Drosophila melanogaster: one gene and its partner. The protein of the gene in region 2 purifies or fractionates together with the protein of the main gene of each other region. This does not show direct contact. Each region holds a gene or a part of one and is shown on either strand. Other genes may lie near its edges. The genes, in order: Nnk and CG10395.

The links.
Region 1: the proteins of CG10395 (region 2) and Nnk purify together in Drosophila melanogaster (affinity purification with mass spectrometry, with the first as the bait; one large-scale study listed by BioGRID). This does not show direct contact.

What each region holds. Positions count from the first base shown.
Region 1 is NT_033777.3:17,802,601-17,807,141, forward strand, and holds Nnk (nicknack), read right to left. Parts: upstream 2,650-4,541; 5' UTR 2,569-2,649; coding exon 2,455-2,568; intron 2,397-2,454; coding exon 1,441-2,396; intron 1,379-1,440; coding exon 1,256-1,378; intron 1,057-1,255; coding exon 930-1,056; 3' UTR 625-929; downstream 1-624. Other genes in the region: CG17806 (uncharacterized protein), read right to left, coding at 1-405, 456-566; CG17801 (uncharacterized protein), read right to left, coding at 3,137-3,248, 3,309-3,422, 3,493-4,289, 4,347-4,469.
Region 2 is NT_033778.4:5,348,480-5,352,529, reverse strand, and holds CG10395 (uncharacterized protein), read right to left. Parts: upstream 2,054-4,050; 5' UTR 1,722-2,053; coding exon 1,709-1,721; intron 1,651-1,708; coding exon 818-1,650; 3' UTR 810-817; downstream 1-809. Other genes in the region: IFT20 (intraflagellar transport 20), read left to right, coding at 414-809.

The DNA of each region.
Region 1 (4,541 bases), on a different chromosome or scaffold from region 2:
CACTGGATAATCAGATGAAAGCTGAGGCTCGCTCTTCACCTGAATAGGATCCTCGCACCGGAGAGGATCGACGAGATCGGCAGGCGGTATTTCCGGGACAACTAAAGGGTAAATTGGGGTTTCTACTGTCTTAAGAGGCACTCCATCCACTTTCTTGCTGCGTTGTGGTAGAATCCTTCTCCTTTGCGGCTGTGCAATACTAATGGGCATAACATCCACCCTACTTTCTAACCTGTTATTCCCGCCTTCCCTTGCAGTCTCAGTGTCCGAATCCTCTTGTTTGCCCTGCTTTTCGAACCAAGACGAATTGGTCCTGATGCAGCGCTCCCGGAATGCGATGGCATCGTTCAGATCCAGCAAGCAGGATAAGCAGATCCTCGTTGGCACACCTGGCTGGTTCCTCAACTGGAATCGAAGAGGGAATGACTCCGTGGTTACCGGGAATAGTCACCTACCCAAAAGCCCGTCAGCTTGAGGATGTTGCTCAGGACATCTCTGGCCTCCTTATCGAAAAGTGACTTGGCGTGCTCCGCCTCCTGGCCACAGGTGCGGCACAGCGTGGTCATCCTTTTTGCAGTTTCAACTCAATTGTTTAGTTTCCGCCAAGTAAACAAAGTTGGACTTCTGTTTACAGAATAATCTAGTTTATCATTGTTTTGTGTGAATGGCACATTTTAAAGTGAACTACAAGGAATTAGTTCTTCCGATTTGAACTGTGGATTTGTTGTAATAAACGTTAAATATTTAAGAGGATGAAAGATCCACTTTCAAAACTGATCGATACACCCAAATCACAGTCAGATATCTTATGATATTTCATCTTATTAACTTCTTAGAAATACTTTTATACTAAATTATTATAATTTTAACAGATAAGAACATTAGACCTCTAAACGGATGACAACACTTAACAACAAAACATTTGTACCTTATTTATTTTTGGAATCAATTTCGGACTTAGCACTCATTGCGATCAGCTTATTTTGATGCTGCCTGGAGCGGTAGTGGGTCTTCAAGTTCGAGTTCCGTGTAAAGGACACTTTGCAGACCTCACAGCTAAGGGGAAAGTAGATAAAAACAAAGTTAAACATTTGAAAAAGTAACTTTTCAAGCAGGAAATAGTTAACTTGATTGCTGGATGTAGTGGATATTAGGAAGTAAAGAGTTACAAAGTGGGAATAATAAGATGATTGATACTTAAAGGAATATGTTAGGAGAAAGAAAAATCTAGCCATATATCTTCACAAGATCTTACTGGAAGTTACGCTCGCCGGTGTGGACCACCTCGTGCTTGGCCCTCTGGTAGTTCGACTCGTATCGCTTGTCGCAATAGTTGCACTTGAAGTTCTTTGGTGTTTTCTTGTTCCGGTGTACCCGGCTGAAAGAATGGCAGTGTTCGTAGGTGCAATTTAGGGGATTTAAGGTATGCTATAGACTCACTTTTCGTGGCGCGATCGCATAGTACTGTGCACAAAACGCTCGTCGCAGAACTGGCAAGCGTATGGCTTCTCTCCGCGGTGCTTCACCCGAATGTGAATGTTCAGGATGTACCTGTTGAACTCCTTTTGTCCGCACTCAGGACACTCGAAGGGCTTGACGCCCGAGTGGCGCAGCACGTGCAGATTAAAGTTGCCCTTGTCGGTGAATTTCTTGCCGCAATGGTCACAGATGTGGACCTTTTGGCTTATGTATGTTTTTCGTTTTTTCTTCGCAGGTTTGAGAAAGTCGGTGTCGTCGTTTTTGGGAGATGATCTCTTGGTGTATTTTCGACGAGGCTTCTTATCTTCGTCAAGGGCCGATTGACGCGATGTGGCTTCTATATCTGACATAGAATCAGCATCTGTATCGCTGTCGCCGTCCTCGTTCTGCCAAAGCTCGTCGTCGTCTTCCTGTGACTCCTCTTCGTCCTCCTCATTTTGCTGACTTTCCTCCTCATCTGGCTGTGACTCCTCACATTCCTGTGACTCCTCGCCATCATCATGTCCTGTCTTTTTATCCACCATATCCTCATACTCCTGCTGTTGCTCTTGCTCATCATCCTCCTTACTGAAGGGTATTTCGCAGGCAATATCTTCAAATTCCTTGTTCTCATTAACCTCGCTTTCTTCCTCCTCCTTCTTGTACAGGTCGTGGTCTTCCTCCAGTCCTTCATTATCCGCATAGGACACCTCGTACAACACCTCCTGCTCCACTTCCGCATCGTTGATCTTCAGCCCCTCGTGCGCATCGCTCAGCGGATCAGCCCAGCATCCGTCATCCTTGGCTTCCACACTTCGGCGCTGGATTGTCAGTCGATTGTTGGTCTTGATGCAGGCTTGCCGGAAGGCAATGGCGCTCTTCAGGCTCAGCAGGCAGCAGGAGCACATATTCCGGGGCATCTTCGAGTGGTCGGTGAGCTTGAAAACCAAACGAGCATTAGCGGTTTAAATTTGCCAATTTAATTTACACACTCACCCAAAGGCCCGTGACCAATGCGATTTGCCTGACCATTTTGCTGTTCTCATCGAATATGTTAACTGGATTTTGCGTGTATATTAAATCTCCACACAACCGGCATTGTGGCGTCATTTTTAAGAGTTATTTTTCGAGCCAAAATTCCTTGCTTTATTAACAGCTGCTGCTTCATTTTGGGCCATTCGCAGCGAACTGTTGTTGTTGTCCGCGTCTCTGGGTGACTGCCAAGCGGTGGCGCCAAAATTTGAAAATGGCGCCTTTTATTCAAGGGTCGTTATGGAATATACTCCAAGCATTTGCTTTTCGTGGCAAATAGGAATTACCAAATATATTTACCACTTCAAAAAAAGAATTAAAAATATATATTATACATAAGTTTTCTGTTTTTAAATGAAAACGATTAATTAAATAGTAAGGTATTTAACATTTCGAAATGAATGGCTGTCCAAATATTACACTCTTAAAGAAACTACTTCATAATAGGAAAAGCAAATGACAAAAATGTAATACAAAAAAGTTATAGCAAACGAAGGGCAATCCAGTGCCAAAACAGTGAGAATACGTTCAAACATTTATGTCTAATAGATATCCTGAGCCTCAGAATTATCCAAGTCGTGCTTTCATCTACATATCCCGCATCTTATAAGACGGAATTAAAAACGATCTCTAATTCTTTGGCGAATCAATGCTCTTCGGATTCCAGGATGGCGCTGGCTCTTTTCTGGTGAGCAACCGAATCGAAGTGACTCCTTAGCGTTGCCTTTCGGGCAAAGTTGATTTGGCAAATAACGCAGCTGAGAGGGAAATACACGACTTGTATTAAATATGCGCAAATTTCATATCATTTCACTTACTCAAAGGGCTTAAGACCTGAGTGCAGGAACTTGTGCTTATTCAAGCAGGTCTTGGTATTGAATCTCTTGGTGCACTGGTCGCATTGGTACCTCAGATCTCTGATGTGCCGTATTCTGTCATAGTGTTAGGAAATTGTTTATGTCAGCGCTTTTAAAGTTAAATACAATTGCAGTAAGGACTTACCGCTCATGGCTCGACTTAGCTGTACTTGTGAAAAACGTTGCCGAGCAGAAGTTGCACTCAAACGGCTGTTCGCCCATGTGGCGCACTCGTTCGTGTAGACGAGCCAGATACTTGGTGACGAACCGCTTGTCGCAGAACGTGCATGGAAAGTTCTTCTCACCCGTGTGGCGCACCATATGCGTCTTTAGGTTGTATGGAGTCTTAAAGACCCTTCCGCACTTAGGGCACACCAGGGATTGCATTTTCCGAGCTGTCCTTTTTGCAGGGGGTACATTCTCAGCTGCCACATCTTCTGGAGCTAATGCAAGGGGCTTTACTACCTTAATAGAGGGATACGTTGTAAGTAGTCTCAGATCGGTTCCAATTTGTATAAAGTTTCCCTTTTTTGGGCTTTTTGCATCGACTTTGTTAGGCAAGTTTTCATTTGCAAATGAAGGAGTCTCAATTAATGGATTTTTATGCTTAAATATTAAGGGGGTTTCCGAATCATAAGGATTATGTGGTTCGTTTCTCCTATCCTCATGGGCGAGATTTAAATCAATATCGGATTCCTCTGCTTTTTTGTCAAATGGATAGTTTTCTGAATCATATGATTCCTCCGATTCCAAGTCACTGGAATCCCCTTCTGGCTCTATATCGGATACAGTGCTTTCTAGATCCTCATCAAGCCCAGATTCCCGCCTCAGCGTTGCTTCATTGTGAACTCGTTGAATGCGCTTCTTTAACTTAATCGATGTGTTCAAGTCATTTAAACAAGATGGGCAAATATGACGCGGCTGGCGTTCATTCTGTTCTAACTGTAAATGGAGTAAATGGGTTATGCCATTCACGCACACAAGAAACCATCAACATACCCATATTCCAGTGAGATCCTTGATCTTGGCCAGAACTTCCAGGCAAAAAATTATCGTGGGATTCAGGTGACAGAAACACGAGGCGCACAAATGGCATTGCGAAGGCTTTTTCATTTCAAACATATGATCATTTATCCCGCTGAATTCCCAAAACAATCAGCTGTAGTTTAATTGATTTTATGTTGTCAATTATGG
Region 2 (4,050 bases):
ATTAATTAATTAATAATTATAAAAAAATTAATGTAAAATATAATTTTATAGTTCCTGAATCTTGACGTTCATACGGACAGACGGACATGGCCAGATCGACTCGGCTATTGATCCTGATCAAGAATATAAATACTTTATATGGTCAGAAACGCTCCCCCCCACTGCCTGTTACTTTTTAACGAATCTAGTATGCCCTTATACTCTACGAGTAACGGGTTATTAAAAAAGGGTTATTATTTGCATTTCAAATAATTCAAATACTGAAAGCTAATATAATTTCCAAAAGAAAAATACTAAAGCCTCAATGCATTTATATACAAACGCGTAGCTCTTATTTGTTTACGACTCGTTCAGTTGTCAATAGCAACGCAACGCATAGTAAGAAAGTATTACTTTGTTACAATCGCAATAAGATGGAAGAACTTCAAAAAGTTGGTGTGTTTATAGATGAAATTTACACGGTGCGAGTTGAGCATCCAAACCTTTCCAGTAGCAAAATAATGTTTAAACAAGAATGCTTCAACTACATTAAAGCATTCACTATTTTTAAAAAGTTTGTGTTTAATTATTGTAATATTTCTGAAACGTTTGCCAAAGATGTCGATAAGGAAAAACTACGCGCTATTGGTACTCAAAATCAATTAAAAACGGCATTTATTCAGCGCCAGAACAAGCAGCAAGTCTATCAATATGAGATATTTGAGCAAACAGTAGAACTTGAACGCTTAAAAGGCGAATTGCAGTTTTTACAGCGAATTGAAACGGAGCAACATGAAATAATAAACAATTTTTTTGTCAATCAATATTAAAATTAAATCTACGTATTTGTAGACGTTTTTCTTATTTTGTTGATATTCTTACGATAACATGTAAGACTACATAATGGAACATTTGTTGTTGAACAATTATATGTCTTGCGATTTTCACAACCGCTTACAAAGCACACCTGTGAAGGAGGAGGTGTACGAGGGAGTTGAACTTTTAAAGGATATTCGTAACCTGGGGGAACTATTACATAGTTGCCAGTTACAGCACTTATATAGGTTATTTTTGGATAAGAGGGCTGTTGTAAAGACTTATTGCGAATTGAAATCCGATCCCTGTTGGTTGCCTGTTTTTTTAACAACCGCTCCATTGTCTTTAATTTATCTTTTTCTCTGCGTTCGTCAGCTTGTTGTTTTCGTTTTTGAGATTTCAGAAGAGCTTTATGAATTTCCTCCGCAGTCTGCGGCTTTTCCTTTTCTTTATAACCACTTGGAAGAGCAATTAGCTCTTCTATAAATCCATTTATTTCGGAGTCCTGTGTCCGTTCATAAATAGCACGTTGACGTGCTGTCATAAGTTTGGGGTCCTTTATCTTTTTAAGTTCCTCATCAACAACGTCTAGTTTCCCGGTTTCTATGGCGGTAAGCCACCGATCCTCTTCACTGGACGTATCACTGTTGCGTCGTCTTTTACCTTTTTTAGCACCCGTGTGAGGCAAACTGTCATCATGTGCCAATTTTTTTGTGCTAATATTTCTCGTGCGTCTAAGAGGATGTTCATGAATATTTGAATTAGATGCAAGCGCATCTGTAGTGTAATGAAGTTCTTTAGGTCTCAACGAATTTGAAATAGACTCAGCAGATAAGTACTCTGCATCCTTAGAACCTATGAATAAAAAATGTTACTTTTTAAGATGTAACGTTTGGTGATTGATATAAATTACCTTCTTTCACCATTTCAATTGAAATACACTCGTCCTGTAGCAGCGGCCAATATTTTTGTTTGTTATGCTTAATTTTTTCAAATGTCCAAAAATTGCATTGGTCATACATCCACTACGATGCTTATAGCCTAATTCCACAAATGACATCCTTATTAAACGGCTGGGAAAATCGTGCAATCTCTCTGGCCACATAGTATAATGATTTTAAACTTATAATGATTATAATTATAATAATAATAATTATAATAATAATACTAAAAAAAATTTGAATTGTGCACAATATATTTTTGTATTCCCCTTCCTAAATGCATTTAAGCAATTCACAGAATACATAGCAAAACCATGGTTAGCGGTTGTGTTGAACCGATAACCGATGAAACTGAATAGTAACTAAATATCGTTCCTGATGTCGAGACTCCAATCTATGTGCACTTATGCACGCGAATTCAAATTCTGCATGAAAAGCGCATAAGTTGATAAATGAATAATGGATAAAGTTTAATAAAATTACAAATTATTTGAATTTTTGGTCGGGTAATGTTTAATGTTTTTTATGTTAGTGTCATTACAATCGATATGTTCGATTATTTTACTAAACTTTATATATATATATACTATACTATACTATATATATACTGTTTGTCAAGAAACTGTTTACACACCGTGAAATAAGTTGAATTTTTAACTTTAAAGGTCAAAATTAAGGGTTATTTGTTTAATTAAACGCAATTTTTTTATGAAATATAATTAAACAATATTTATTTTACTTATAAATTAAAAAACAAATTCAAAATATCAAATATACAAGAAAATAAACAACAAATTTCAAGTTTACACACTTTTGAGAGTGTAAAGAAACTATTTACACAAAACACTAAACCTAAGTTTAATCATAAATTTTTTAATTATTTTGTTAATATTTGAAAATTTTTAGTATTTAGTATGACCCCCATTGGCTTTGGCTACAAGTTGAAGCCTTTTTTTCATGGAATGGATGAGTTTTTTTAGGTCATATTCAAGCGGGATCTTTTCCCACTCTTCGACTATCGCAGCAATGAGATGTTGCCGTGTTTTGGGGCACCTTTTTGCCACCTTCTTCTTTAAGTAGGTCCACAAATTTTCAATGGGGTTCAGATCAGGACTCTGAGGGGGCGTATCGATCACCTTGCCACAGTTATAAAGTAGCCAGTTGCGTACATTGTACTCTTTATGTTTGGGATCATTGTCGTGATAAAACTTAAAATTTGGCTTGTTGTTGCTAAATAGACCACATTTTTCTGCACTGGCCTTCAAATTTGTTTCTAAAATATCTAGATATTGCACGGCATTCATAGTGCTTTCAATAAAGGCTAATTTGCCCACTCCATGGCTGGAAATACAGCCCCAAATAATCACTGACAATTTTCCAAATTTGATTGTTGGTATGATATTTTGTTTTTCTAGCGCACTCAACGGTTTGCGCCATACTCTGCTTGGCCCGTCGTTATAAAAGAGCATCATATTTGTTTCGTCACAAAATATGACGTCATCCCAGTACTCTTCCGCATGATCTATCATGCTGAATGACGCTTTTCAATATTGACCTCTGATAGCAAAGGCATTTTTCTTGCAACTCTTGAAGAGTACCTATGGTAGTAGGATAACGTGGTGCACAGTTTCGTGTGACACAGTTAGGTGATATTCTTCCCTGATATCCTGAGCAAGTGATCTGACCGAGATTCGGGGGTTCGCAATCACTTTTAAGGCAGTCTACTCGCTTGTTAATTTTGGTTTTCCGCCCATTACCACTCTTAGGTTCAAGCCTGCCCTCTTTTTCCGCACGATTTAAAATATTATAGACGGTCTTAGGTTGCCGTCTCTTGTTCGTTTGCATCCCTCGACTTCTCCTCCACAGGCAAAGTCCACCGATTTCTTTATGATGAATGGTGAAATTCTTTCGAAAGAGTTGTTGTCTTTCCTTTTGATAATTATAAATTTAGGTTCACCTAATTGCGATGGTATGTTTTTGAAGTAATTTTGTAAATGTTTGGTGGGTCTGTCATGATTGTTGGTTAAGAGCTTGAGCCCGGGTTGGCGGTATTGTTGTTGGTTTTATTTTATTTTCTCTTTGTGGTTGATATTTGTTTATCAAGATTTTGCTGATAAGGGTTTTGGGCTTACGCGAAGCCGGGCTTTAAACTGGGTGGCACGACTTATCTCTTCGGAGGTTGAAGTGGTACTGTTGTTTTGCATTATATTCATTGCCTCGTTTCTGTTTTTTTTTTATATCGCATCTATCTTCTCGTGAATCGAGCCGGTTGGGTGGGAGGTGTGGCCGTGGGACCCGTACGAAAAAAAAAGTA